Macaca mulatta: one gene and its partners. The protein of the gene in region 3 interacts with the protein of the main gene of each other region in a pairwise test. Links are inferred from orthologs where the notes say so. Each region holds a gene or a part of one and is shown on either strand. Other genes may lie near its edges.

What was found.
Region 1: the proteins of CCDC102B (region 3) and LMO4 interact in binary tests that used the Homo sapiens proteins (3 or more experiments, as listed by UniProt). The two-hybrid records come from large-scale screens. The link is inferred for Macaca mulatta from reciprocal best matches to the Homo sapiens genes CCDC102B and LMO4.
Region 2: the proteins of CCDC102B (region 3) and CCDC120 interact in binary tests that used the Homo sapiens proteins (3 or more experiments, as listed by UniProt). The link is inferred for Macaca mulatta from reciprocal best matches to the Homo sapiens genes CCDC102B and CCDC120.
Region 4: the proteins of CCDC102B (region 3) and PSMA1 interact in binary tests that used the Homo sapiens proteins (3 or more experiments, as listed by UniProt). The two-hybrid records come from large-scale screens. The link is inferred for Macaca mulatta from reciprocal best matches to the Homo sapiens genes CCDC102B and PSMA1.
Region 5: the proteins of CCDC102B (region 3) and MAGOHB interact in binary tests that used the Homo sapiens proteins (3 or more experiments, as listed by UniProt). The two-hybrid records come from large-scale screens. The link is inferred for Macaca mulatta from reciprocal best matches to the Homo sapiens genes CCDC102B and MAGOHB.
Region 6: the proteins of CCDC102B (region 3) and NTAQ1 interact in binary tests that used the Homo sapiens proteins (3 or more experiments, as listed by UniProt). The two-hybrid records come from large-scale screens. The link is inferred for Macaca mulatta from reciprocal best matches to the Homo sapiens genes CCDC102B and NTAQ1.
Region 7: the proteins of CCDC102B (region 3) and HMG20B interact in binary tests that used the Homo sapiens proteins (3 or more experiments, as listed by UniProt). The two-hybrid records come from large-scale screens. The link is inferred for Macaca mulatta from reciprocal best matches to the Homo sapiens genes CCDC102B and HMG20B.

The regions. Positions count from the first base shown.
Region 1 is NC_133406.1:153,320,423-153,324,527, forward strand, and holds the start of LMO4 (LIM domain transcription factor LMO4), read right to left. Parts: upstream 2,801-4,105; 5' UTR 2,427-2,800; exon of another isoform or gene 1-2,426. Other genes in the region: uncharacterized protein LOC144332728, read left to right, coding at 2,801-3,370. UniProt on the Homo sapiens protein: Transcription cofactor. Plays a role in establishing motor neuron identity, in concert with MNX1, acting, at least in part, to disrupt LDB1-LHX3 complexes thereby negatively modulating interneuron genes in motor neurons.
Region 2 is NC_133426.1:49,143,686-49,147,081, forward strand, and holds part of CCDC120 (coiled-coil domain-containing protein 120), read left to right. Parts: intron 1-107; coding exon 108-248; intron 249-647; coding exon 648-942; intron 943-1,313; coding exon 1,314-1,376; intron 1,377-1,738; coding exon 1,739-1,913; intron 1,914-2,031; coding exon 2,032-2,130; intron 2,131-3,396. UniProt on the Homo sapiens protein: Centriolar protein required for centriole subdistal appendage assembly and microtubule anchoring in interphase cells. Together with CCDC68, cooperate with subdistal appendage components ODF2, NIN and CEP170 for hierarchical subdistal appendage assembly.
Region 3 is NC_133423.1:11,949,062-11,953,328, forward strand, and holds the start of CCDC102B (coiled-coil domain-containing protein 102B), read right to left. Parts: upstream 2,801-4,267; 5' UTR 2,723-2,800; intron 1-2,722. UniProt on the Homo sapiens protein: During interphase, forms fibers at the proximal ends of centrioles to maintain centrosome cohesion. During mitosis, dissociates from the centrosome following phosphorylation to allow centrosome separation. Contributes to CROCC/rootletin filament formation.
Region 4 is NC_133419.1:50,928,385-50,932,490, forward strand, and holds the start of PSMA1 (proteasome subunit alpha type-1), read left to right. Parts: upstream 1-1,306; 5' UTR 1,307-1,354; coding exon 1,355-1,357; exon of another isoform or gene 1,358-1,744; intron 1,745-2,695; coding exon 2,696-2,740; intron 2,741-3,749; coding exon 3,750-3,851; intron 3,852-3,977; coding exon 3,978-4,081; intron 4,082-4,106. UniProt on the Homo sapiens protein: Component of the 20S core proteasome complex involved in the proteolytic degradation of most intracellular proteins. This complex plays numerous essential roles within the cell by associating with different regulatory particles.
Region 5 is NC_133416.1:10,000,989-10,003,580, reverse strand, and holds the end of MAGOHB (protein mago nashi homolog 2), read right to left. Parts: intron 2,404-2,592; coding exon 2,321-2,403; intron 864-2,320; coding exon 764-863; 3' UTR 501-763; downstream 1-500. UniProt on the Homo sapiens protein: Required for pre-mRNA splicing as component of the spliceosome. Plays a redundant role with MAGOH in the exon junction complex and in the nonsense-mediated decay (NMD) pathway.
Region 6 is NC_133413.1:133,837,370-133,841,372, forward strand, and holds the start of NTAQ1 (protein N-terminal glutamine amidohydrolase), read left to right. Parts: upstream 1-1,203; 5' UTR 1,204-1,265; coding exon 1,266-1,348; intron 1,349-4,003. UniProt on the Homo sapiens protein: Mediates the side-chain deamidation of N-terminal glutamine residues to glutamate, an important step in N-end rule pathway of protein degradation.
Region 7 is NC_133424.1:4,383,176-4,387,350, reverse strand, and holds the start of HMG20B (SWI/SNF-related matrix-associated actin-dependent regulator of chromatin subfamily E member 1-related), read right to left. Parts: upstream 2,801-4,175; 5' UTR 2,711-2,800; intron 2,459-2,710; 5' UTR 2,441-2,458; coding exon 2,403-2,440; intron 2,057-2,402; coding exon 1,948-2,056; intron 1,367-1,947; coding exon 1,163-1,366; intron 209-1,162; coding exon 88-208; intron 1-87. UniProt on the Homo sapiens protein: Required for correct progression through G2 phase of the cell cycle and entry into mitosis. Required for RCOR1/CoREST mediated repression of neuronal specific gene promoters.

The DNA of each region.
Region 1 (4,105 bases), on a different chromosome or scaffold from region 3:
CGCGGCGCCTCCTCCCAGCCCCCGCCTCCGCCCACTGCCCCCCTCCTCCGCCGCCCGCCTGCAGCAAATGAGGGTCAAACCCACCCACCGCCGTGCCCGGCCCCTCCCCAGCCCCCGCCGGGCCCCGGGACAGAGTCGAGGGGAGTGGTGAGGCGACGGCCCCGCCGGAGCCTCGTTCCCTCCCGGGCTCTGCCCTGGGAAGTGCAGCAGGAGTTCACAAGTTGGAAATAGTTCGGTTTTCCGAAAGGGAAGGAGGGAGGGACCGGCAGACGGAAGATGGAGAGCGTGGTGGTGGGAGGGAAGGCAAGGTGACGGCAGAGGGGGTGCAGTGTGTAAAGTTGCGAAACTGGTTTTTCGTATTTTAAGCAGCACCTTTCACATGCCATTGTGGTGACCGCCATCTCCCATTATTGTTCCAAATCTCATTTCATTTTGAAGATCAATGAGTGTTTTCTCTGGGTTTTCAGGACACAGGCAAGAATAATAGATCATTGAACTTTAGGATGCCTGTTAACTTCCTATACAAACACTCTCCACTTTGGTCTCACTAATCTGCCCTTGATCAGCAATTTAAATGCTAAAGCTTTGTTCCTCCAAAGGGGGGGGGGGTCGGCGTTACAGATAACGTGCGAGAAGGCAGCATTAAGGGATGCACAAGTTAAATTCGAGCCCGTTCTGCTGTCACCAAAAACTGCTTTAAAAAAGAATTCCCCACTCTAATGAATGCCACAAGAGATGCAACTGGGATATAATATAGGAATCAATTTATAAAGCTTAGCCTAAACCGATTAATTTGTTGCCTTCAATTCCGAGTCCAATAAAGTCCTAGTGTTCCTCTAGTCACTTATTCTATAAAAAGATCAAGTTATTTACTGCCAATTAAGCAGCCTGTTTTGTCTTTGTCCTCTGTAAGCTGAGAGTGTGGGCTCCCCCTGAGGCTCCCGGCTATCTGCTCAAGACATTCAGCTGATACCTCAGAAGAAGGCGAACTTTGCCTGTCCCCGGCCCAACTTGGCTGCTGCAAAAAAACGAGGAAGGAACGAACGAAACAGGGACTCGGGTTCCTTAAATAGGCCGATTTTAAACACATTTCCTCCGAAAGAGTCCCGGAACGTGTGTCCAGTGACCGCACAATAAACCAGAATAAGAACTGCACCAATTAAGCTGTAACAAAACCCTGAGACTTTGGAAACAGGACCACTCTAAAACCCATTAGCATTGCATTTATCCGAATGCATCATACCTTTATGTAAATTGATTTATCTGATGCATTTACTCGAGGAATTGCTTTTTGTTACAATTTCAGCCCTAACCCAAATGAATCTGCATTTCCTGCCCTAGGTCTTTAAACTGTTTCCCCCAACGTTTTAATCGCTCCGAATTCCTTTTTAAAAGGAGAGAGGGAGGAGATTCCCAGCTCTTCCCCGCCCCCATCTTTAGTGAGAGGTAAATATATATGTATTTTTTTTTTTTTGAAAAGGAAACATTACACTGAGAAAAGCATCCAGTAACCCCATTAGCTAAAGCTCTTAAGGACAAGCAATACCTTAATGCTGATTAAATCTAAAAGAGATGAATCAAGAGGACTGACCAGAAACTGACTCCCCTGATAACTAAGGACGGGCCCTCATCAAGTTTCATTTAGAGTTGGAAAAAAAAAAAAAAAGAAGAAGAAAGCTTTTAAGTTAAATAGGCTTATACTCTAGTAATTACATAGCCAAGCAATTTAGGTCCTGGGATAGTCAGTGAAATAGAAAGCAGAACTGGCAGCTAGAGGCAAAATCTGCCCCCCTTTAATAACGTCTCTGGTGTTTTTTAATGGAGACCAAGGGAGGGACAAACGTAACGCTGGCAATTTGTAGTACAAAAATGGATGCTTAATTCATGTCTTGATTTTAATTAGGTGATTCACCGTATTTCTCCTGGATTGTAACAAAAGACTTATAAACCAAGAGGTTTTAAAAAGAACTAGCAATACCGAATCCTGCTCACTTAGACCCTTCCTGCCACTGTTTCAAAATTAGTGTTTACTAGAAGGGGGGGGTTATCGTGACTATCCCCACCCCCACCCCCCCAAACACACTACTTCTCATACTTAAAACCTCATCTAAGCACCCCTTGCCCTTTCCCTCATGAACTAGAAATATCCCACCCCCTCTACGGTCCCCACCAGCCCCGTTTCCAAGAAGAGCCCTTTTGTAAGCAGGAACCGCTACAAAGCTGGCGGCCCGGGGCTGCCCTCCGCGCTAGCTCGCAGGCCGGCCTCGGTAGTTTCAGACTCGCGCTTTATCTAAGGCGACGTATTGTTTACTTGCAATTTGGGACGGTAAGGGGAAGGAAGCCAAAGAAAACAGCCCTGGCCCGAATCGGCCCCCTCCCTCTCTCTCCCACCTCCCGGCCCGCGGCTCCCCCAGCCGCCCCCTTACCTGCTTTTCCCCTATATTGCAATATTGCAAGAGGCGGCGGCGGTGAAATGCGAACGAAGCCGCTCGGCTTCCAGGGAAGGGGCGCCTGGGCTGGCGGAGCTGGAGGGAGGGAGGGAGTTCTCGCAGAAGCAGGAAAGGGGAGGAGGGGGCTAAGGGCGGCTTTTTTTTTTTAAATCGCGTTGCTCTGGGGCGGGTTGGGGGGCCCCCGCGTAAGTGGCAGGCGGCCGGGAGCAGAAGTGTCAGTCTCAGTCTTCGTCCTTCTCCTCCGCCTCCGGCTGCGCGCGAGCAGCTGCAGGAGCCCTCGGCCCGCGCGACGCGGCTTCAGGCGCGGTGCAGCGGCAGCAACTGCTGCAATCGCTGCTGCAAGTTTGGCAATGTGGCTTCACTTTGTATATTCCCCCGCCCGGCGGCCCCCGCCCCCGCCCGCGCTCCTCGCGCTCCTCCCGCTCCTCCTCCTCCGCCGCCGCCTTCCTCCCTCCCGCGCGCTCGCTAGCTCGCTCGCTCGCTCCGGGCTGGCAGCGGCGGCTCGACTGAGCTCCCTGCACCTCCGCCCGGGAGCAGCCGCAGACACAGAAACCCGGGGAGCGGCGGCGGACGGTGCGGAGGCCGGCAGGCAGGCGCGCCCAGGAGTCGGGAGCTGCGGCCGGCCGGGCCCGACGCGCTGGAGCCTACGCCGCTGCCGGGACTGTTGCCGGGGCTGCTGCTGCCCGGCGCGGAGGCGGAGGCGGAGGAGGCGGCGGCGGCGGCGGCGGCGGCGGCGCTGGCCTCTAGCCGGCTCGCTCGCTCCCTCCGCGGCTCTTACACATGTGTTACTGACAGAGCAAAATCCCAACTACTCCCCGGCTCTGCCTCCGACGTCAGCGACCCTCAGCCACTGGGCGGCCGGATTGTTCAGGCGGAATAATAAAACCTGCCAATCCGGGGAAGGACAAAGGGATGACTGAAACGAGACTCGGGGGGCGGGGGAGAGAGTGAGGCGGCGGAGCGGGCCGACAGAGGAGAAGGGAAGGGCCCGAATCAGGTGGGGAGAAGTGACCCGCTTGGCGCCTGGCGCCGGGGACCCGCTTGGGCTGACCTTCGCGACCCGGGATCCGGAGCCGAGACCCGGTGGGGCGGGGGGGCCTCACCTGCCTTCTCTGCGCACGGGGACCCTGAGGACCCGCTCCCGCTCGCTCCTCGGGGACTGCCATCCCCTCGATCTGAGAGGAGACCCTTAGGAAACTTACCATCTTTCTCAGAAATGGGTATCTTCCTGTTTGGGAAGATAAGTCCTGCATCTTAGGGCAGTGAACTTCTATCCCCTCACGCACACGCACACAGAAGAGGGTTTTTGTTGTTGTTTCTTTAATTCACGATATTGGAGATTTATGAACCGTAGTGGAAGCTTAGTTAACAAGGTAGAAACATAAAGGAAATAATAGTTGCTAGCTAAATACTGCCTACTTAGCCTCCCTCATCCCCCATTTACCCGAGTGTGAAAGTGCCTAGCAGGCATTTCTTGGATCCTTGTCAATTGCTGGTGATGTAGGGAGCACAGTCCTTATTTTCAAAGTTGACGAAAACTTCAGGGAGAAAACCTTGCCCGACTACCCTCCTCACTGTGGAGGATGAGAGGCGGAAATTCTCACAGCCCCCAAAAGCAATGGAAGTAATTGCGAGATTTGCAATCTCACAGCCTC
Region 2 (3,396 bases), on a different chromosome or scaffold from region 3:
GCCGGGCCAGGCTCCTGGTAGGACTTCTGTGGCTTCTGGGATCATTAATGCTTCACCCCATCCTTCCAACTAACCCTTGGTAGTCTCTGACCCCTGCCTCCCACCAGGAGCTGACTGGCCAGCTGCCCCCTGAGTGCCCACTAGAGCCTGGTGAACGGCCCCAGTTGGTCCGCCGGCGGCCCCCCACAGCCCGTGCCTACCCTCCACCACACCCCAACCAAGCACACCACTCCTTGTGCCCTGCTGAGGTGAGCAGATGGGTGTGGAGAGCAAGAGGGTGGGGAGAGGGGACAGGTACAGAGGAGTAGCCAGGAGGAAGGTGTGGGGAGGGGGCTTGTGGCCAGGTGAGGGAGCTTGTGGCCAGGTGAGGGAAAGGCTAAGCTGAGAAGGAAAAGGGCTTCTGGAGGTAGGTTCCTGCAATGAGGGAGGATGCTGGTCCCTAACTGTCAGGACAGGCCTCCCACCCTCAGGAAGATGAATCGACCCAGCCCTTCACCCTGACCCGCCCCCTCCCCCAGGTGAATAAGCTCCACCTGTAGGTGAATGGGCCTGAATAGGCTGCAGGAAGTACAGGCCAGCCTCTAGTGGGTTTGGCTCCGCCAGGTCCCTGTTCCTGGCCATTTCCAACATTTGGGTGGGCCTGACAGGAGCTGGCTCTTGAGGCCCTGGAGCGTGAGGTGTCAGTGCAGCAGCAGATCGCGGCAGCTGCCCGTCGCCTGGCCCTGGCCCCTGATCTGAGCACCGAGCAGCGCCGGCGCCGTCGCCAGGTCCAGGCAGACGCACTGAGGAGGCTGCACGAGCTAGAGGAGCAGCTCGGGGATGTCCGGGCCCGCCTTGGCCTCCCAGTGCTCCCGCTGCCCCAGCCACTGCCACTGTCCACGGGGTCAGTGATCACCGCCCAGGGAGTCTGCCTGGGCATGCGCCTCACTCAGCTCAGCCAAGGTGAGCATCCCCTGGTGAGGGTGGGAGAGTGGACACTGGCAAATGAACGTGGTAGGGCTGGGATGGCTGAGTGGCCAGTGAAAACCGGGAGGTAGGCACAACTCAAGTGGCCCAACCCGTGAGAAGAGTTGTGACAAACTGGCTTACCGGAAAGGACAAACTGTGGGAGACTGATGAATATCTGCCCGGACAGTCAGGAGCCAAGCTGGGGTGGTCTTGGGCTCTGGTAAAAGCAGATTCTTGGGAAGGGAACAGGATGAGGTGGAAACTGGCCAGAAGGTGGCCCAAGTAGAGGTGCCCACCCAGTGGTGTAAGGGGGCGGCACCCAGGCCTGGGAGTGAGAGGCCCACTTCTCCCCCTCTCACCTATAGAGGACGTAGTTCTGCACTCAGAGAGCAGCTCCCTCTCAGAGTCTGGGGCCAGCCATGACAACGGTGAGGACTCCTGTCCCCCAAACCTGCCCCCGACTCCTATGTCCCCTCAGCCCATCCCCTTTATTCATCCGACCACATCCTGCATGATCAGCCCATCCTTTGATGCCCAGCCCCTCCTGTGCTGCTTCAGCTTCTCCTTAGCCATGCTCCATCTTCCTGTAGGTCCCCCATCTTCTTAGCCTCACCCCACCCCAACCCCCAGCCCCACAGCCCCAGAACCTACTCGTCAGCCTTAGCTCCTCCTCAGTCTGCTTAACCTGTCCCAGCACTTTGCCCCTCCCCATGGCCTTGCCCACGAGCCTGTCCTGCCCCCTCTGGGCCCCCCTCATTGAATTCTATCCCACTTGCTCTCTTCCACTCAGAGGAGCCCCATGGCTGTTTCTCTCTGGCCGAGCGCCCCTCACCACCCAAGGCTTGGGACCAGCTGCGGGCAGTATCCGGGGGGAGCCCTGAGCGGCGAACCCCATGGAAACCACCCCCATCAGATCTTTACGGGGATCTGAAGAGCCGACGGAACTCTGTGGCCAGCCCCACCAGGTGAGAATGAGCCCCTCCTCCCCTCCGCAGGAGCTGGGAATGGGATAGTAAGCCTGGGCTGGCAGAGGGTCTGCTGGTGGGTACAGTCTCTAACCTAGGCCTGCCTGTCACTGTCTAGCCCCACACGCTCGCTGCCCAGGAGTGCCTCCAGTTTTGAGGGGCGAAGTGTGCCTGCCACCCCAGTCCTCACGCGGGGCGCTGGCCCCCAGCTCTGCAAGTAAGGGGAATCTGAGGGTGGCCTGGAGGATCAGAGGGGAGGGAACCATTAGTTCTCACTGGAAGCTTGAGGACGGCATTATCAAAAGGTGTGGGATCGCTGGGCGCGGTGGCTCATGCTTGTAATCCCAGCACTTTGGGAGGCCGAGGTGGGCGGGTTACTTGAGGTCAGGGGTTCAAGACCAGCCTGACCAACATGGTGAAACCCCATCTCTACTAAAAATACAAAAATTAGCTGGGTATGGTGGGGCATACCTGTAATCTCAGCTACTTGGGAGGCTGAGGCAGGAGAATCGCTTGAACCTGGGAGGCAGAGGTTGCAGTGAGCTGAGATCAAGATTGTGCCCTTGCACTCCAGCCTGGGCGACAAGAGCAAAACTCCATCTCAAAACAAAAAAACAAAAGATGTGGGACATGGGAGGCTGGGAGTTAAAAGTGAGCAGGCATCTCGGTGGATAATGGGGTAGAGATTTGGGGCAGAAGCATCAAAGTTTTGAGTATGGGCTTTTCTGTGCATTTTGGACAAGCCATTCTCCTTTTCTGAATCAGTCTCCTCATTTGTGAAATGGAAATGATAGTATCTGCCTTTGAAAAACATGGACATAATAAGTTCTGGTTAACATATACTGAGTGCCTGCCACCTGCTAGGAATTAGTGGCACCAACTCATTCAATCATAATGAGATCCCTGTGAGGTGGGTGCTATTGTTATTCCCATTTTATAGATGAGGCAAATGAGGCACAGAAAGGTTAAGTAACTTGTTAGTAAACTGAAGTCCTGGAGTTTGAGCCCAGGCAAGTTTTACTCTAGAGTCCATGCTTTTAACCATTGTCCTCTTCTGCTTCTGCTTCTTAAACAGAGTGCCTACTTTCCCCAGGCTCTGAACAAAACCAAGTCCCCGGCTTGCATTCTGTGAATGGTGGCTGTTGGGATGGTAGCTTTGGGTGGTTCATACATATGGTTGGATAGAGAATTCAGGCAGGGTTTTACGTGTGGGCCCTAAGGCCTAGGACTCAATCCTGGAGGCCGTGGGAGCCGTGAGAAGGGCCTTAGCATGGGGAGGGGTCAGCTGGATTAGGAAGAGCCCCCTGCCCGGCACCTACTCTGCTAGCCTTTCCTCTGAGTCCCTACACAGATTTACACCTCTCTTGGAGCTAACAGTGCCAGGCCTCCCCCACGCATTTCTACCCCCGACCCCCTAGCCTAGGACAGAACCTAAGCCGCCCTTTACATGTCACTACCTGCCACCTTTATACACACAGCTTCC
Region 3 (4,267 bases):
CTGATAAGGGTTTGCTCTCTGCTTCCAGGATGGTACCTTCTTGTTGTGTTTTCACATGGCTTAAAGTTGAAGGGGAAAAGGGGTCTAAGACAATCCCTTCAATCTCTTTTATAAGGTCTCTAATCACATTCATGAGGGTCCCACCTCATGATTAAATCATGCCCAAATGGCCCCACCTCTTAATGTTATCATATTGGCAATTAAGTTTCAACATATGAAATTTGGGTTACACATTTAGACTACAGCAATATGTATGCAAAATACACAAGGTATATATATATATACCTGTACAAGTGTAGCTTATCTGAAAGTCTTTTTAAAAATATTGTCAAAATAGTAGAATCTTTTAAATCTCAAAAAAAAAATCACCACTTGAGGTAGATAAGCAGAAAAAAACACTTAAAATTTTCACCGCAGAATATGTTTTAGCATGTGGAAATTTAGCATGTTCTCTGAACAAAAAGCCTAAAAAGTTTATTGGTTTATTAAATCATTTTCAGATTAATGCATTATTTTGATCATTTTCACGTTGCCTAGATCAGTGATGTGCAACGGAAATATAATGCAAAACCACATATGTAATTATAAATTTTCTAGTAGCTACACTTAAAAATAAAAACATGTGAGATTAATTTTAATAATTTAATTAACTCATATCTAAGCTATAATCATTATAACATATTATCAGTACAAAAATATTGAGACATTTTACAGTTTTATATTGTCTTCCCAATCCAGTGATCCAGTGTATATTTTACATTTATAGTATATCTCGTTACAACCTCTCTAATTTCATCAGAAATATTTAATTGATATTTATTTTATAGAGACATGGTCTTGCTCTGTTGCCAGGCTGGAAGGCAGTGGCAGGATCCCAGCTCACTGCAACCTCAACTTCCCTGGCCCAACTTATCCTCCCACCTCAGCCTCTGGAGTAGCTGGGACCACAGGTGTGTGCCACCACATCCAGCTGATATTTTTTTTTGGAAACAATCTCCCTCTGCCGCCCAGGCTGGAGTGCAGAGGTGCAATCTCGGCTCACTGCAAGCTCGGTCTCCTGGGTTCATGCGTTCTTCTGTCTCAGCCTCCCAAGTAGCTGGGACCACAGGCGCCTGCCACCACGCCTGGCTAATTCTCTGTATTCTTAGTAGAGATGGGGTTTCACTGTGTTAGCCAGGATGGTCATAATCTCTTGACCTAGTGATCCATCCGCCTCAGCCTCCCAAAGTGCTGGGATTACAGCCGTGAGCCACCGCGCCAGGCCACATCCGGCTAATTTTTTAATTTTTTGTACAGATGGGGTCTCCCTGTGTTGACCAGGCTGGTCTCAGTCTCCTCACCTCAAGCAATCCTCCTGCCTCAGCCTCCCAAAGTGCTGGGATAACAGGCATGAGCCACCGACGCCTGGGACTTGATCAGTATTTAGATTTCATAAAGTTTACAGTTGAAAAAGTAGATTCACATACCTCAGTTGTTCCAACCATATTAAAAAAACTTTCCAATAGCTGAATCAAGTGCCAGTTTTTGAGTTTACTGAGATTAAAATTAAATATTCAGTTACTTCATCACACTAGGCACATTTCGAAAGCTCAATAGCGACATATGGTTAGTGGCTACACTACTGAAGAGCACAAATCTAGGTCAACCTGTTTTCGTTGTTCTCCACATGTGAACTTAAACTGTAACGCAAATATAAAAAGATATTATTTTATTTTGCATGATGTGGAAGACAGAAAAATTTGAAATACATTAGAATGAAAAAAAAATTGAATATGGGTCATTCAGAGACCTTGCCAAGAAAGTAGAAAAGCTTCTGTATAAGAGTATCGAGGCGATGGTACTATTATAAAGCTGTTCCACCACCGCGAGAACATTACCATCACTTCAACTGTCCTCTTACGTTTTAGTCTACTTTTTTCAAAAAAAAAAAAAAAAGAAAGAAAAGAAAAGAGAAACAAAAAGAAAAATTGAATCTGCAGAGGGCTCGCGTTTGTGCATGCTGTATGCACAAAGGGGGTGACATTTAGGGCTTGCTCTCAATTACAGTGCAATTTAATCTTCCAGTCACTAGGAATAACAACGTTTTATAACATTTCGGCCTGTTGGAATTTTGAACCTAAGGTGAACCGGCTGACATCATATCCCCCTTCTGCTGTCATAGGTTTTCAAAATTTGGTTTGATCTAAATTCTCTGGTACCTTATGTCCCATAAAAATTTCATCTAATTCGGAAGTAGTGACTGCTGCAGTAACCGTCTCATGAAAGTATATGGTTTTTACAAATCATTGTCGTGTAGAAGAAAAAACAGGTAGCAATATAAATATTTCATACTATTTATTTAGTCCCAAAATAATCAGAAAAGAGTCATCAAAAAATATCCTACGCTTAACTTCATGTTCTCAAGTTTCAAGAGAAAGTTTTTAAAGAGGCAATCCTTACTTTGGCAAAAATGCATTAAAGCTTGCTGCATTTAAGAGATGTCCCATTATGCAAACAGGTTGAAAGAATATTACAAGTACGTTTTGGAAAAATACGGAGTGTCGCGCAGCTCAGCAATCCACAGTCTTAATGCGCGCCTCTTTCCAGGAATTTGATCCAGCATCAAAACCCACAGGTGCATTTACTGCATGGGAGTAGCAAGTAAATGATGTGCCAATATTCAACCTGCAACTGCGTCGTCGGAGCCTACCTCACCCTCAGCGTAACTTTCACCGGTACTCACCTTCCCAGAAACTCGCCCCAGTGAACAACCACCGTTGTCCCTAGTAAAGCCCTTAAGCAGGGTTCCCACGCTCCTGGGCTGGGCGGGGCGCCGGGGGCGCAAAGCATTCTTAAGAACACGACTGCGCAGGCGCTACCCTCCTCGCGCAGGCGCCGTACTCCCCCTCATAGCCAGAATTAGAGACCAGCCGGGTGCTGGGAGGTTAACGAGGCCGGCTAGTCCCGCCCCCGTATTGAGCGCGGTGCTTCTCTTCCGCTCCGGGTGGGGTCTGCTTCCCTTTCCGGGCGGGCAGGCAGCGAACCCCAGTGTCTTTATCCCTCTTTTGCACAGAGTCAGCTTCTGCAGCTCTCCCTGGCTGGCATGGCAGCGTGGAGGAGTTGGGCCGCTCTGCGGCTCTGCGCCACAGGTAATGGGCGCGCAGCGGTCGGAACCTGGCCCCGCCGTGGGGCCGGGATTGGGCTCGGGTCTGGGGCGAGGCCTGCGGGGCCCGCGGAGATGCCCACCCGGTCCCCGGCAGCGTCCTGCCGTCCCCGCCCCACCGCCCTGCCTGGCCGTGAAGGAGCGGACACCTGAGGGTCCTTCCGCCGCTGCTGTGCGGGACCAGTGCTGGACGTGGGAAGGGCGCGCTGCCTTGTGTTTGTGTTTTTCTCATTGTGGCAGGAAGTTTCAGTAAAGCTTACTCCTTTGATGGGCAAGAAGGATGCCGCCGTCCCACCTTAACGACCAGATCTTGTCTTGACTTTAGGTTCCGAGTCTTGTTATGTTTAAGGGTTTTTACCACCAGTGCTCAGAGAGGGTGGTCGAGGACAGATCAGGGTCAGGCCGCCGGGATTGTGCGGTGTGAAAAGGACCTGAGTGTGTGTCAGCGGTTCTCAGCTGCCTCCCGTCAGCACGGAGTGCCCTCATTCTCACTGGGGTCCGCTCACTTAACCTTTTAGAATCCACTCTGTGTCAGACACGGCCGTGTAATAAGTATTAGAGTTACAGCTCGACTTTCTTTCTATTTGGGGGTAAATATTTTGAATGACATTTGGAGTTTTTACTGAAGAGATAATTGCTATTAAAGCAAAAGAAGTATAGAAGAATGCTGTCTATATTCCAAAAAGATGGAATGGTAAAAAGGAGAAGTAAGATGAGAGTGAAAATGAGGAAAAAGGAACTGTGTATATTAGCTTTATTGGCTTACCTAGAACTTGGCCGGTCACCATGTGGTTGCATACAGACTATTTATTAAATGGATGAACTACTTTTGCTTTTGCATCATTTGCACCCTGGGATGTATCAGTGATGAATTTTTTGGTAGGTTGTAAAAGGTCAAAAACACCTCAAAGATGACTAAGCTTATACAGTATGAGCCAAATAATCAGCATTTATTGTGTACGTTTTGTCTTTTTTTTTTTTTCCAGTTGTTTTACTTGATATGGTCGTCTGTAAAGGATTTGTAGAAGATTTAGATGAATCGTGAGTATACATATATATATTTAAAATATTATTTTAACTGTCCAATTCATATATCTGAATATTTGCATGTGAATCTAGTATTTT
Region 4 (4,106 bases), on a different chromosome or scaffold from region 3:
GCCCGGCTAATTTTTGTATTTTTGGTAGAGACGGGGTTTAACCGTGTTGGCCAGGATGGTCCGATCTCCTGACCTCGTGATCCACCCGCCTCTGCCCTCCAAAGTGTTGGGATTACAGGCGTGAGCCACCGCGCCCGGCCTTTTTTTTTTTTTTTTTTTTTTGAAACAGAATCTCTGTCGCCCAGGCAGGCTGGAGTGCAATGGCGCGACCACGGCTCACTACAACCTCGATCTCCCGGGCTTAAGAGATCCTCCCACTTCAGCTTCCCGAGTAACTGGGACCACAGGCGCATGCCAACATGCCCAGCCTTTTTTATTTTAGTATTATTATTATTATTGTAGCGACGAGGTCCCACTGTATTAAAATAATATAGTGATCTCGAACTCCTGGGCTCAAGCGATCCTCCGCCCTCGGCCTCCGATAGTGCTGGGATTACAGGCTACCGCACCCAGTCTCTTTTTTTACAAAGAATGTAAATAGCCGGTGGATGTTAGATTGGCAGCTGTTTGCAAAGATGTCAGACTATTTCATTACGGAAAGATGCTCTCAAAAGACAAAATAGGTAAGTCGAAAGAACGTGTCCATTTTTTCTCAGTGGCCTAATCAGGTATCATGCTTGGTTTTGAGGACACAGAAAGACAGCGCCCTCATGGAGTTCAAAGTCTGGTGGAGGAAACCAATCATAATAATAATGAGGGGTTAAAGACAACAGAGCCTTGAAAGATAACATCTCCAGGGAATAAGGAAGAGCATTCCAAGGTATCTTGCCAAATGGCAAAAACCGCGGTTACTTTTGCACCAACCTTAATACAAATAAAAGCATGTACACAAACAAGATACTCGAGGAAGAATACGGCTGACACACAGAAACGGATCGTTATCTTGGGGCTTTCCTGCAGCCTCGTTTCTTTCAGTCACGTAACACCCCAAAATCTGTGGACGGTGAATGAGAGCTAGTATCACCCGGAGTCACGGCTGTTGCCTCGTAAGACTTTAGATGCAGCCCGCCACCGGGAGAAACTGGAGGGAATCCGCAATACACAGGAACCAAGAAGGGCTACGTGACAGGGGGTCCCCCGCAGCTCTCAGCCGCCGGCACTCCCAGCCCTGGGTTTCCCGCCAATCTCAGTTACTAGATCTTCCCAGGCTCCGCCCGCCGCCGAGCGGTCGGAGAGTTTTAAGGAAGGGGAAGTGTTGCAAGCCTATCGATATCTCTGGAATAGACTGCGCTACCCTGCGCCGCCGCCATCAGACTCCCGCAGACTTCTCTGTAGATCGCTGAGCGATACTTTCGGCAGCACCTCCTTGATTCTCAGTTTTGCTGGAGGCCGCAACCAGGCCCGCGCCGCCAACATGGTACGTTGAATCCCGACCTCTGGAAGGTTTAGGGCAGAGCTCCGGTGACTCGGGGATGACGAGCCACCTCTCCTGTCATCCTTAGCGCCGCCCGGGGCCACGAGGTATGGGAGCCTCGGCAGACGGCCGGGCTCCGGCAGTGATTCAGCATCTCCGGCCTGGCCGGGTTAGGGGCTGTCGGTAGCCAGTGCGGCCTTTCCACCGCTTTCGCTTCCCGGGGAGCCTCCGACACTTCCTCCTCTGTCAGCTAGATGAGTTCGCCCCTCAGGTTCCTTCAGTGGAGTAGATTCTGAGCGGTCCAGAATAGCCCCTAGTGCTGTGTATGGGAGAGGAGAAGACAGAGACTTGGAGGCCTACCTGTACCACCAGTGCGGACTTGACCCCCAGGTTTGTGTTCCTGGACCGCGTCCGTTTTCCTGGTGGGTCCGTCTGATTTATCTCTCCCCTAGACTTCGGTTAGAAGAGGCCCTTTTCAATAATTTTGTCCAGTCACCTATTTACAGATGAGTAAGCCGAGGCTGAGAAGGGAAGTGATGGAATCTGGGTTACAACATAGGGTTCTGGGTTTCCAGTGCTGTGCTCGCACTCAATCTCACTCCCGTGATTAGTCTCCCCAGCACTGCTAGACTTATTATAATAGTCATAATAGCCGTAATGGTTCTATCGCTGCAGCTGTTTGTGTCCACCTCTAACTTTCTGAGGACATTTTTGTTCATTCAATATGAATATACAGACAGAGCATTTGTACAAGCATAACTACAGTGAACGTTCAAAAGTCATACATGTCCCTAATCATAAAAGCAGAAAGGGACGTTTAGATAAAGAACTGTGGGAGTATGTGTTAGGGGGATTTGGGAAGAAAAGCTAATCATAAAAACAGAAAGGGACGTTTAGATAAAGAACTGTGGGAGTATGTGTTAGGGGGATTTGGGAAGAAAAGGAGAAGACTTCCAGAAATCGACATTTAAGCTAACTTAAAGAAGAGAAAGGCTTTTAACCATTTATTAGGTCCCAATAAAAGGGAGCAGCATAAGCAAAAATAGGCAAGAAAGTTGATTGTGAACTTTAGTAATTGAGCCTAAAGGGATTGCTATGAAGGGTTTTAGAATAAGAGGTTGGAAAAATAGGACCCATTTAGATCTGCTTCTCCCTCTCCCACCAGTTTATGGTAAATGTAGAATTGGCTTACGTCTGAGTACAGTAGTAATCTTCCAGTAAGATTGCATGAACAGAGTGCCTTAACATTGAATGGAAACACAAGCATATTTCTTAATGAATGTTAGAGTTGGGATTTGAAATGTTCTTCTATTAACAGGTCTTTTTTTCTTTTACTTTTAGTTTCGAAATCAGTACGACAATGATGTCACTGTTTGGAGCCCGCAGGTAAAATAATGTTTTTTAAACTATTTCTGTGAAATGGCTTTTTGTGGCTGCAATATATTTAGAAGCTTGTGAGAGCATAGGCTTGGGGAAAATGGAATATAATATTTTAGTCGTTCTTGGAAGTTGCATTTATAATTAAAATAGGTCTCCTAATGGACCTAGAGGACATTATGTTAAGTGAAATAAGCCAGAAACAGAAAGAAAAATATTTCATGCTCTCACTTATATGTGGAATGTTTTGTTTAAAAGAGCAAATATATAGAGAGAGAGAATAAAACAGTGGTTACCAGGGTAGGGAATAGCAGTGGGGAGGAAAAAAGAGGAGATACAAAGTATCAAATATGTAGGTTGAGCAAGTGGAAGGATCTAAGGTACAACATGAAGACTACAGCTAATAATGCAGGTAGTGTTTTGTATTCAGGATTTTTGCTAAGTGAGTAGTTGATAGCTCTTGCCACAGCAGAGGAAAATGGGTAAGTATGTGAGACAATGGATGTGTTCATTCTGCGATAGTGACCCTACTATATATGTGTATCTTACAACATCATGTTGCATACCTTAAGTATATACAACAAAATTTATTTTAAAAGAAGCTTTTGGCTAGGCGCAGTGGCTTATGCCTGTAATCCCAGCACTTTGGGAGGCCGAGGAAGGTAGATTGCTTGAGTCTTGGAGTTCAAGACCACCCTGAACAACATGAAACCTGGTCTCCACAAGAAATACAAAAATAAGCTGGGCGTGGTGGTGCCTGCCTATAGTCCCAGCTACTGGGGACGGTGATTTGAGAGGATTGCCTGAGCCCAGGAGGCAGAGGTTGTACTGAGCTGAAGATTGTGCCACTGCACTCCAGCCTGGGTGACAGAGTGAAAACCTGTCTCAAAAAAAAAGTTTCTTGATTTAAAAAAAAAATCAGTTGAGATTTAACTATGCCCACCTGACATTTGAAAACTCTAATTTTTAAGTTATAAAAGGCCTTCTAAGATGTGGTTTTGTTTTTTTTTTTCTTTAGGGCAGGATTCATCAAATTGAATATGCAATGGAAGCTGTTAAACAAGGTTCAGCCACAGTTGGTCTGAAATCAAAAACTCATGCAGTGTTGGTTGCATTGAAAGTAAGTAAAGTAATAAATATGTCTTCCTCTGTAAAAAACTATTAATGTAAATTTCACCATAGACAGTAAGGTTGTAAACTTATTTTTACATTTTTTTTTTTAACATCTTATAATGTCTCCATTTAGAGGGCACAATCAGAGCTTGCAGCTCATCAGAAAAAAATTCTCCATGTTGACAACCATATTGGTATCTCAATTGCGGGGCTTACTGCTGATGCTAGACTGTTATGGTAAGTATAATCATGAAAAATAAAC
Region 5 (2,592 bases), on a different chromosome or scaffold from region 3:
TAGGAGTTAAAATATTTCTGTCCATTCATACTTACATGTACGTTTATCTAAATGTTTAACAATTTATAAAGCTGAAAACTCATTTAGTTCCTCACCTCCCCTACACACCAAATACATTGTGAAATAAGGAACAAGGACATAATCAAAGATATGCCTAACATGGGGTAGACTTTACTTTTGTAACACTTTAGGACATCACTGCTTATAATTGAAAATATTTAAATGTGAATAATTCCTGAGGGGTTTGTGATAACTGTAAAAAAAACAAAACAAAACAAAACAAAACAGACCTTCTGTAAGCCCCCCAAAATTAAAACCAATCATGTATGAAGGAAATAAGGGAAGATCTACAATTGCCTTTCATGGATGGGAATATGGCTACATATTTCCACCTAAAGTATCTTCTGTCACAGGATATACCTACCAGAACAATTTCTTATTATCTCTAAAGTGAATTAAAGACATAGCCTCCTAGAGAAAACAAAAAACTACTCTGCAACCAGGATTTGGTATGTTTTATTAGAGCAAATTTTTAACAAAAGGTGGCTTTTATTTACAGAATTTAATATGTGTGGGGAATGTCCAACCCATGTGGACTCAAGTAAAGATAACCATTAAGCTGGCTAATGTATTTTCTTATTTTCAGTTTAGATACAAATTTTTTTTTGTTCGCTTCACATTCATAAAAACCCCAATATTGTAAATGACAAATAACCCCTCCCATCCCTTAATTAAATATACAAACAGCTTGAAAACATACAATTTAAATTGGTTTAATCTTGAAGTGTAATCCAATAAGACTGAAAACTAAACATTTCAAGTCTTGTACCAAATAGTAAAATACTCGAAGACCTTCAGGATCCCTAAAATTTAAAAAGGTAAAAGTTACTTTTTCTTCCTAGGATAAAACAATTCTTTAAATTCCTAAAACAAAACAAAATTAAAATCTTTTAACAATTAAGTTAACAATATTTAGGAGAAGGGAAGGATTTTGCCAACAACTACAGCATAAAATGAATATCTTTTCTATAAGAAAAAAATAGTTTCTTCATCAGTATTCATTTTAGTATTTAAAGATTCATCTCCTTATGAATGTCATAACCGCATCATAAAAATGTCTAATAAAGCAGAAAAAATAATACCGTAATGCCACCATTTCATAGAATAACTGTGAACATTTTGATGTTTCTCTATTTTATAATAACTAAAATCATTCCCTGTGCCCCTTTTTACATTGCTTTCCCCACAGCATTAAAAAAAAAATTCCCCAGTAATTTTTAATTAATTTAATAATTCTCTCCCTGTTAGACAACGGGGTTAATTTCCTATTATTAATAATACTTCAATGAGCATCTTCATGCATAATAAAGATTTTCCAATATTTAGGAGTAGTTCCATAGAAGAGATGCTCAGAAATGAAATTACTAGGCCAAAGGTGAATGAAAAATGTAAACGGTTTTTGATGCATATTACCAAACTGCTTTCCAAAAACCACTACCAATTTATAATCCCAGTAGGGTATCAATGCCACATCCTCACCAAATGTAGGAAAAGAAATTTCATAGTTTACAAGCATCCAGTTGGTCTCTGTGAACACAGACTTTTGTGTCCAATAGTCATTATGCATTCATTCCTTTCTCCTTTCCTCTCATAAATATTGAAAGCATCTATTATGTGCAGGGCACTATGCTAACTTTGTGGATACAGCAAGGTTCTCATGGAGCTTACTTAAAGCAGACAAATAGGTTATTACAATTTAGAGTGACAGAAAAAGGGAAGAGCACTATGGGACACTTTGAGGGGAATGGGCACAAATAAGTGGCTTGGATCAGACCAAGAAAATGGGATGTACTACAAAACCCTGGGGCGGAGGAGAGATCGATCTTGGGAAGACATTGGTAGTAAAGGATACTTAGGCTAGACTGGATTTTTTCCATCTTTTTCCCAAGTATTGAGCCCAAGGAGGAAAGTGAGATGACATGGACCTAATGAGGCTGATATAATCCAATAAGGACTTCTTTTCTTTGGATTTTCTGATACTATATCCACATTTTTATACAAAATAGCTAATACAATTTGGGCATTATTATATACAGCTGTTGGATTAAAATTTTTTGGACAATCGATGAAATACTCTGCTAACTTCTACTGACAGACAAGATAGTAAGCCTTTAATGACATACAAATCAGAATTACATCTGCATAATAAACTGATAGGAGGCCACTGAAATTATCTTGGCTAACAAACTGACTATACTATAGTTCTAAAATGAGCCTCTCTAATAATGACAACTTGGCCAAAATGCTTTAACATACTTACTTTGACTGATTTACGTCAATAAGAGAACCTATTTTTGATGTGGTAAATGATATGTGCTCATCTCCAATTACAATTTCAAGCTCCTAAAAAAAAAATAGCAGAAAAATGTAGTTAATATATAAATCTATCCCAGAGATATCTGTATTCTTGCTACAAACGGATCCCAATTTTAGTTGCAAGTTTTCTAGCAGTCAACGGGGGGTGGCGTGGTGGGGGGAAAGAAACTTGGTGTATTAGATATAAACTATATCCTTAAAATAAAAACTGCTCAC
Region 6 (4,003 bases), on a different chromosome or scaffold from region 3:
TACTATTCATTCACCATAGATAAATTCTATTTTTTTTCTTTTTTTGAGACGGAGTCTTGCTCTGTCGACCAGGCTGGAGTGCAATGGCACTATCTTGGCTTACTGCAACCTCCGCCTCCCGGGTTCAAGCGATTCTCCTGCCTCAGCCTCCCGAGTGTCTGGGACTACAGGCGCGCGCCTCCACGCCCAGCTAATTTTTGTATTTTTAGTAGAGACGGAGTTTCACCATTTTGGCCAGGCTGGTCTCGAACTCCTGACCTCGTGATCCACCCGCCTCGGCCTTACCAAGTGCTGGGATTACAGGCCTGAGCCACGGCGCCCGGCCCTAAATACTATTTTAACAATATGGTGTCTTTTCTTCCAGACTGCCAGTAAATGAACAAACACATGATTAACACAAAAACGATACCATATGGACTCTTTAAACTTTTTTTTTCAAATTTACTATATCAGGGAATTAATATATCTTTTCGAGCCAATAGATATAGGTCTTCCAATTTAAAAGATTAAGTTACAATAGAGTGAGATTTGGTGTGCTATCCCTTTCGGAAAGCGTCCTCGATGCGGTCATATTGGAATTAACCTCCACTCCCCTCCTCTTCTCTGGGCTCCCGCGGACTCCAGGCTGAGTGCTGAAGTGTGGATTTTCACACCCAAACCTCTGTTATTTCAGTGTCTCACCTGGCTTCTCCACAGCGCAGAAGCTCAGCCCCAAGTTGGAAGAGCCTCCCCGGGAGATTCACAGCGAAGCGCTATTCAGGGCCCAACTCCAAGCCCAAACCTAGCTCCACCCTAAGCCGCCGCCAAAGACCCCTCTTCTCCCAAACCTCACCGGGGCCCCGCCCCTGACTCCGCCCACGAGAGCCCAAGCCTCCAGTCCTGCCCCACCCCGGGCTCCACCCACCAGCCGGGCTCCGCCTACCCGGAAGCACGCAGTCCTCCTCGTCCCGGGCTCCGCCCACCGGGAGTTCTCGCCGCTCACCCCACCCCGGACCCGCCCACTTCGCTTGGGCTCCACCTTCCCAGGAACTGGCGCCGCTTGCCCGAGCTCTGCCCATTTCGTCCCCGGCTTCCCGCGCTGAGAACTCGTGCTGCGAGCCCCGCCCACCGCGCTCCTGGCCCCACCGCCCGGAAACTGTCCCGGCCGCCCCGGGCTCCTCCCACCCCGCCCTGAGAGCCCGCGCGTGCCGCTACACGCCCGCCCTTTCCTACGTGTGGTCCAGTCGGTCTTCCTCCGGCGTCGGCGCTGGCTGAGCTAGCTGGCCATGGAGGGTAATGGCCCCACTGCCGTCCACTACCAGCCGGCCAGTCCCCCGCGGGACGCCTGTGTCTACAGCAGCTGCTACTGGTGAGGGGGCGCGGGCGCAGCCTCTGGGTCTCCCTGGCTCCCGGGCCGCGAGTTGCAACCAGGCCCCGCCTCTTCCCGGCCCCTGCTCGGGGGCGCTCCCGGCCTCTACCGGCGGGTTCTACAGTTCTGCGGGAGTAGGGAGCGGGAATGGCAGCTCTTGTCTCTTGAGTAGAGCGTGGGCTGTTGGATGGGGTTGGGAATTCGTCCGGAATCCTAGGGTCGATAGTGCATTACCTGTGCCTGGCGCTTGTCGGTTGGATTTGCTCAGCAGATCTCTGCTTCGGGGCTAGGGAGGGTGGAGCTCTGAAAACCTTTGGAAGTTACTCTGCTGAAGCATGTGGGGTTTCAGACTGAGGCGAAGGTCATTTTAATTTTGGAAGAGAATGGAAGCACAGAGAGTTTGGGATAACTTCCCAAGGTCACCCAGCTAATAGCAGCCAGGAATCCAGTTCGGGCTCTCTGGCACCAGAAACCATGATCTTAACCATGTTGTCATTATAATAATGGTTACATTCACACAGCCCTTGCTATATGCCACGCGTTGTTCTGGGTGGTTTAGGTAAACTAAATCACTGAGTATCACAATAACCCTAAGAGGTAGGTATTGTTATCCCCAGTTTAAAGATGAGAGCACTGAAGCACAGAGGGCTGCAAGTAATTTGCGCAGGGCCACATCACTTGTGAATGAAGGAGTGGGGATTTACAGGCAGAGTCTGGCCCCGGAGTCCATGCTCTGCACCCCTGTCCTAGGCCACCTCTGCAGCTGAAGCACCGCCCCTGCCTTGGTCCTTTTTCATTCCCATGCCTACTCTTTCCTGAGTAATGGTTTCTTCCCCAGCTTCTTCTAGTCCTTGCACAGGAACCCTCAGTGCTATCTAAAACTACCCTTCCCCCTTCTGCTTGTCACTAAATCAATGCCACCGAGCATTTGTTCGGCCCTGATTGCATGTCAGGCTCAGTGGCAGGTGCTTCCATCGATGTCCATGAGTAGCTTCTTTTACTATCGTTATCCTCATTTTACTAATAAAAAGAGTGAGCCACAGAGAGGCTGTTGTGTGCCCCCAGATCACACATCTAGCAAGTGGTGGTGCTGAAACTGGAACATCTTCGTGATTTTGAAGTTCATGCATCTTAACTGCTGCACTCTTTTTCTGTCCTGCCTCTTCTAAATCCCGTTAGTTCTCCTCCCTAATGTCCATTGTTTTATTCATTCATTCAATAAATGTGTATTAGGCACTTGGAGTATGTGGCCCACTTCTGGGCACTGGAGATACAGCAGTGAACAAGATGGACAAATTCACTCATGGATCCCTTGGTTCTTGTATTTTGATGAGAGAAAAGCAGATAAGGTCCGGTGCGATGGCTCACGCCTGTAATTCCAGCACTTTGGGAGGCTGAGGTGGGCGGATCACTTGAGGCCAGGAGTTTGAGACCAGGCTGGCCAACATGCAGAAAGGCTGCCTCTACTAAAAATACAAAAATTAGCCAGGTGTGGTGGCACACGCCTGTAATCCCAGCTACTCGGGAAGCTGAGGCAGGAGAATCGCTTGAACCCGGGAGGAGGAGATTCCTGTGAGCCGATGCCACTGCACTCCAGCCTGGGAAACAGAGCGAGATTCCATCTCAAAAAAAAAAGGCAGACAAAAACAAGTAAACCATGTTTGGGTGGTGTTAAGTGCTGTGAGAAAAATAAGATAAAGGATGGTGGCTTATTTTCTATTAGGATATTTTGAGAAGACATTGTTGATAAGGTGATATTTGAACAGAGATCTGAAAAAAGAGGGTGAGAGCTTTGCATCTATTGGAGGATGGTCATTTAAGCAGGGAGAACAGCAGGTACAAAGGCTCTGAGAAGGAATTGTGCTGTATGATAGAAACAGTGAGGAGACTGGTACAATTGGAGTATCAGAGTTAGAGCAGTCTTGTAGAAGAATGGTAAGAGTTGACCACTCTACCGCAGGATTTCTCCGCCTAGGTTCGAGTGACATTTTGAGCATGATAATTCTTTGCTATGGGGGCTGTCCTGTGTATTGCAGGACATGTAGCAGCATCCCTGGCCTCTACCCACTAGATGCTGTTAGCACCCTAGCTCTAGTTGTGACAACCAAAAATGTCTCCAGACATTGCTAAGTGTCCTGTAGGGCTTGGGGGGCAAAATCGCCTTTTGCTGAGAAACAGTGCTCTACCCTGTCTGAACATGTCAGGTGGGGGCACTGCACTACTTTGGCTCCTGCAGCTTTGTGGGGTTTTTTTATTTTTGAGACGGAGTCTCAGTCTATCACCCAGGCTGGAGTGCAGTGGTGCCATCTCGGCTCACTGCAACCTCTGCCTCCCAGGCTCAAGCCATTCTCCTGCCTCAGCCTCCCGAGTAGCTGGGACTACAGGCACCCACCACCATGCCCGGCTCATTTTTGTATTTTTAGTAGAGATGAGGTTTCACCACAGTGGCCGGGCTGGTCTCAAACTCCTGACCTGAGGTGATCCACCCGCCTCGGCCTCCCAAAGTTCTGGGATTACAGGCATGAGTCACCATGCCTGGCCATCCTGCAGGTTTTTAAACTTGAAATGAGTGCCTCCTGTCTACTTCTGTTAGCTTCTGTCATGTTAGCTTCCAAATGTTACTTATGCTTCAAGACCCTGCTTAATGATAATAGT
Region 7 (4,175 bases), on a different chromosome or scaffold from region 3:
AACTCCTGACCTCAGATGATCCACCCACCTCGGCCTCCCAAAGTGCTGGGATTACAGGCGTGAGCCACCGCGCCTGACCCCTCCCACCTTTCTTGATCTTCTTCTCCTGGATCTTCTCCGTGCACATCTTATAGGCTTCCGACTGCTGGTAGGCCCGCAGCTCCTTCATGTACTGCTGCTTCTCTCTCTCGGCCTCATCCAGGTACCGCTGGGGGACAGCACCAAAAGACCTGAGGCAGGGGAAGCCTCTAACGCCAGGACCCAGTCTTCATCACTCAGCTTTCACAGCACCCTCCCCTCTCCTGAACCTTCCATAGTTCCCTATTCCCTCCAGACAGACAGAACCGGCTCCTCAGCCTGTTGCTCAAGGACCTCTGAGCTCCCACATCACTTCCCATGCCCCAGGCTCATCCCCAACTCCCGCCCTGACAAGACACTCCTGGGCGCCAGAGTCATGGGCAGGCACCCAACCTCCAGGGTATGTGGATATCTAGACTCCCTCCTGCACCCGTTTTTCTCTTTGAAATTTCACTTACAGGGGTGCAAAGCGGCGGTGGCTTTTGTTACATTTCCGTGATGTTTTTGCAATTTTTAAACTAACAGTATATGAAAATCAGATTTCACAAAAAATCCAGGCCTTATCCTGACTTCTTAGACATATCTTTGTTGGTCACCCAGTTTTCGATCTGTCTTGCCTCTTGCTAGCCGCGCCCCCAAAAGCTGGTCATGGGCTGGCCATGGTGGCTAATGCCTGTAATATCAGTACTTTGGGAGACTGAGGTGGGCAGATCATTTGAGGTCAAGAGTTCAAGACCAGCCTGGCCAACATGGCGAAACTCCATTTCTACTAAAAATACAAAAGTTAGCAGGGCGTGGTGGCTGGCGCCTGTAATCCCAGCTACTTGGGAGGCTGAGACAGGAGAACTGCTTGAACCCGGGAGGTGGAGGTTGCAGTGAGCCGAGATCGCGACACTGCACTCCAGCCTGGGCAACAGAGCAAGACTCCATCTCACACACACACACACACACACACACACACAAAAACTGGTCATGGGTGGGCATTTCACCAGGCATAAGGAAAAGCCCTGCACGTGGAATCCTTTGGGGGTCGGGGCTACTGGTAGTACGGGGGTCCGCCGGCCCTGCTCAGCGCCCCGCTCACCTGCTTCTCCGTTGGCTGCAGCTTGCTCCACTCGGCGCCCAACATCTTGGTGATCTCGGGAAAGGGCAGATCCGGGTGGCGCGTGCGGATCTGCTCGCGCCGCTCGTTCAGGAAGCGCACGTAGCCTGTGACCGGTGCCTTGGGCCCATTCGGCAGAATCTTCTTCCGCTTCTTGCCCTTGGGCCAGCCGCGTTTCTTCACCGGCTGCAGAACCGGGCTGCGTCGTTGGGAGGGGGGCCTGGCGTACTGGGGCGGGGCTCAGAGGGGCATGGGCGGGGCCTAATGCTGTATGGGCGGGGACGGGGCGGGGCCTAGTTGGGAGGAAGAACCCGGAAGAGATGGAGGTAGGGCCCAGTCAGGAGTCAGGACACGGTGGTTTAGAGGGGTCCCTGGCCAGGGATGAGGGGATCCCAGAGACTATGGGCCGAGGTTTGAGCACAGGGGTGGTGTTTACTTAGATTGTAGGCGTGGCCTCTGCTTGGTGGGCGTGGCTTCTTGGAGAAAGGGCCCACAGGACCATGGGGAGGGTGCCGCCCCCAAGGAGTGGAAGTGGGCGGGACCTTAGAGTGGGCAGAGCTGGCATTGTGTGGTGGGCGGGGCCTGGACTTAGGGAGGCAGAGGACCTGTCAGGGGCGTGGCAGCTCGCACGGGGCGGGGTCTCAGCTTCCGGAGGAAAATCTGGGCTGTGGGCGGAGCCACAAGCAATTCAAATCCAGCCTGGGGCGGGACTTCAAGGCTGGGGCCGCAGCCCGGGGCCTCCCCCAGCTCAGCGCAGGGACTCTCACCTCCTCCTCGTGGGACCCCTTCTCGCCGGCGCGTGGACCCTCGCCGCGCTCTTGCTTGACAGCCACCACGAAGCCCCCATGCTGGCCCGGAGCCTTGCCGCCCGCCGGCCTGGAGCCAAGGATACAGAGGTCAGCCCCGTCCCTAGAGCCTCCCCTCCCCCAAACGCCTACCCCAAGGCTTTTAGACGCCCGACGATGGGGCTGCTGCGAGAGTGCATGAGCCCGAGGAAGCAGGGTCTGATGGGGTCAGTATCCGCGGAAGGTGGGACAAGCGGGGCTCCTGGGAGGGGCTGGAGGCCGAGGTGGGGTATGCAGGATTGGATGGAGGGAGAAGCCCCCTGACCCAGGTTGGGGGCGGTCGAGACCCCGGCCGGGGTGACTGGAGCGGGGGTTCAGGAGCTAGGGCTGCAGCCGGGAAGGTAGCGAGGGCGTGGGGAGGGAATCGGAGCACTCACGCGGCGGCCGTGCCGGGCTGCTTGGGGCCGTGGGACATGGCTGCTCCGGGCCGGACCTGGAACACGGACGCGGGCGGAGTTGAGTAGCGCCTGGGCTGATTGATGGCGGACCGCGAACTGGGGTATCCCGTGATGGAGAGCCCCGGGATGCCGGGCCCGGAGCGCTGGGGGGGCCGGATCCGGGGGCGGGGAAGTCCTCGAGGGCGGGCGCCCCAAGAATCCTTTGTTGGGCGATTGCCCCCCGGGAGGCCTGGGCCGGTTCCCCCCGGCCCAGGAAAGACCCCGACCCGGCCCTGGGACCCCCGCACCCCCGCCCCCTCGCAAGGCCCGGAGTTCCGCGGCTGTTTTCACCTCCAAAGAAACTTTCCCGGACCTCCCGACTGCGCGACGCTCCAACCAACCGCCCGCAGCCCACCCCCGCCGACTGCCCCGCCCCTCCCCGCCCCCGGCATGCTAATGAGGCCTCGGCGAACGGTCCCATTGGGTGAGGCCTTCCCCCGGGGCGTGCCCATGCAGATACCGATCGGCGCGCCGGCCGGCGATTGGCTGGGGAGGCTGCTGAGCCGCGTGGGAGGTTAGTAAGGAAGGCGGCGGGCGGTGCGTCAAGTTCGGCTGCGCTCGGCCGCGCTCGGGACCAATCGGGAGCGCGTGGCGGACTTGCCGGGCGGAGCCTCTTAAAGGGCCAGTAGGTGAGGCGCCGACTCCTCCTCCCGCTCTGAGGGCGATACTCCCAGCAGCTGCCGGATGGCGCGACCCGCGGATCCGGGTCGGGCCACGCCCCGGTTGCCATGGGGACGGAGGTGCTAGGGTTAAGTTCCTGTGAGGCAGCCCCCAGCCCTAGGACAAGGTGGGACCTGTTCTTAACATCCTGCAAAACCCATCGGAGACGTTTCCTATTTATTTATTCAGAACCCCCGACATCCGGATCCGAGGGCTTCTGGCCACAGGGGCGGCTTTCCCAGTGGGATCTGGGCTTTCCCTCCTGTGCAATGGGGACATCGCACGATGTCCAGGGCATAGAGGCTGGGATGCTGCGAAGCTGAGAACGGGGTGTGGGTCAGTCAGGGGGTGGGGTTGGGAGCTGGGCTGGAAGTATTTGGGGAAAGATGGTGGTAAAGGGAGGTTGCAAGGACCTGGTGAAGTTGGGTCAGGATGCTCCGCTCTGGGGGATCAGACCCAAGTTGGGGGCTGCTCACTTCCTCTTTTTTTTTTTTTTTTTTTGAGACGGAGTCTTGCTCCGTCGCCCAGGCTGGAGTGCAGTGGCTCGATCTCGGCACACTGCAACCTCTGCCTCCCGGGTTCAAGCAATTCTCTGCCTCAACCTCCCGAGTAGCTGGGATTACACACGCCTGCCACTACGCCTGGCTAATTTTTGTATTTTTAGTAGAGACAGGGTTTCACCATCTTGGCCAGGCTGGTCTTAAACTCCTGACCTCGTGATCCACCTGCCTCGGCCTCCCAAAGTGCTGGGATTACAGGTGTGAGCCACCGCGCCCAGCCCCCTTCCTCTTCCTCAAGTCCGCTCAAATGTCACCTGCTCAGCCAGGACCTCGCCTCTGATTTTTTTTTTTTTTTTCTCCGTAAGTCGGTTTCCTCTCTGTGGCCTGCCTGTTTGGTTCACAGCAGTGACCGTGGTGGGTGTTCAATACACATTCATTGAATTGTTCAAATGTCTAGGAGGCAGATGCAGTCAGCTGCTTTGGAAAACAGACTGGCATTTCCTCAAAGGGTTAAATAAATGTGGAATCACCATGCAATTCAGCAGTTCACTCC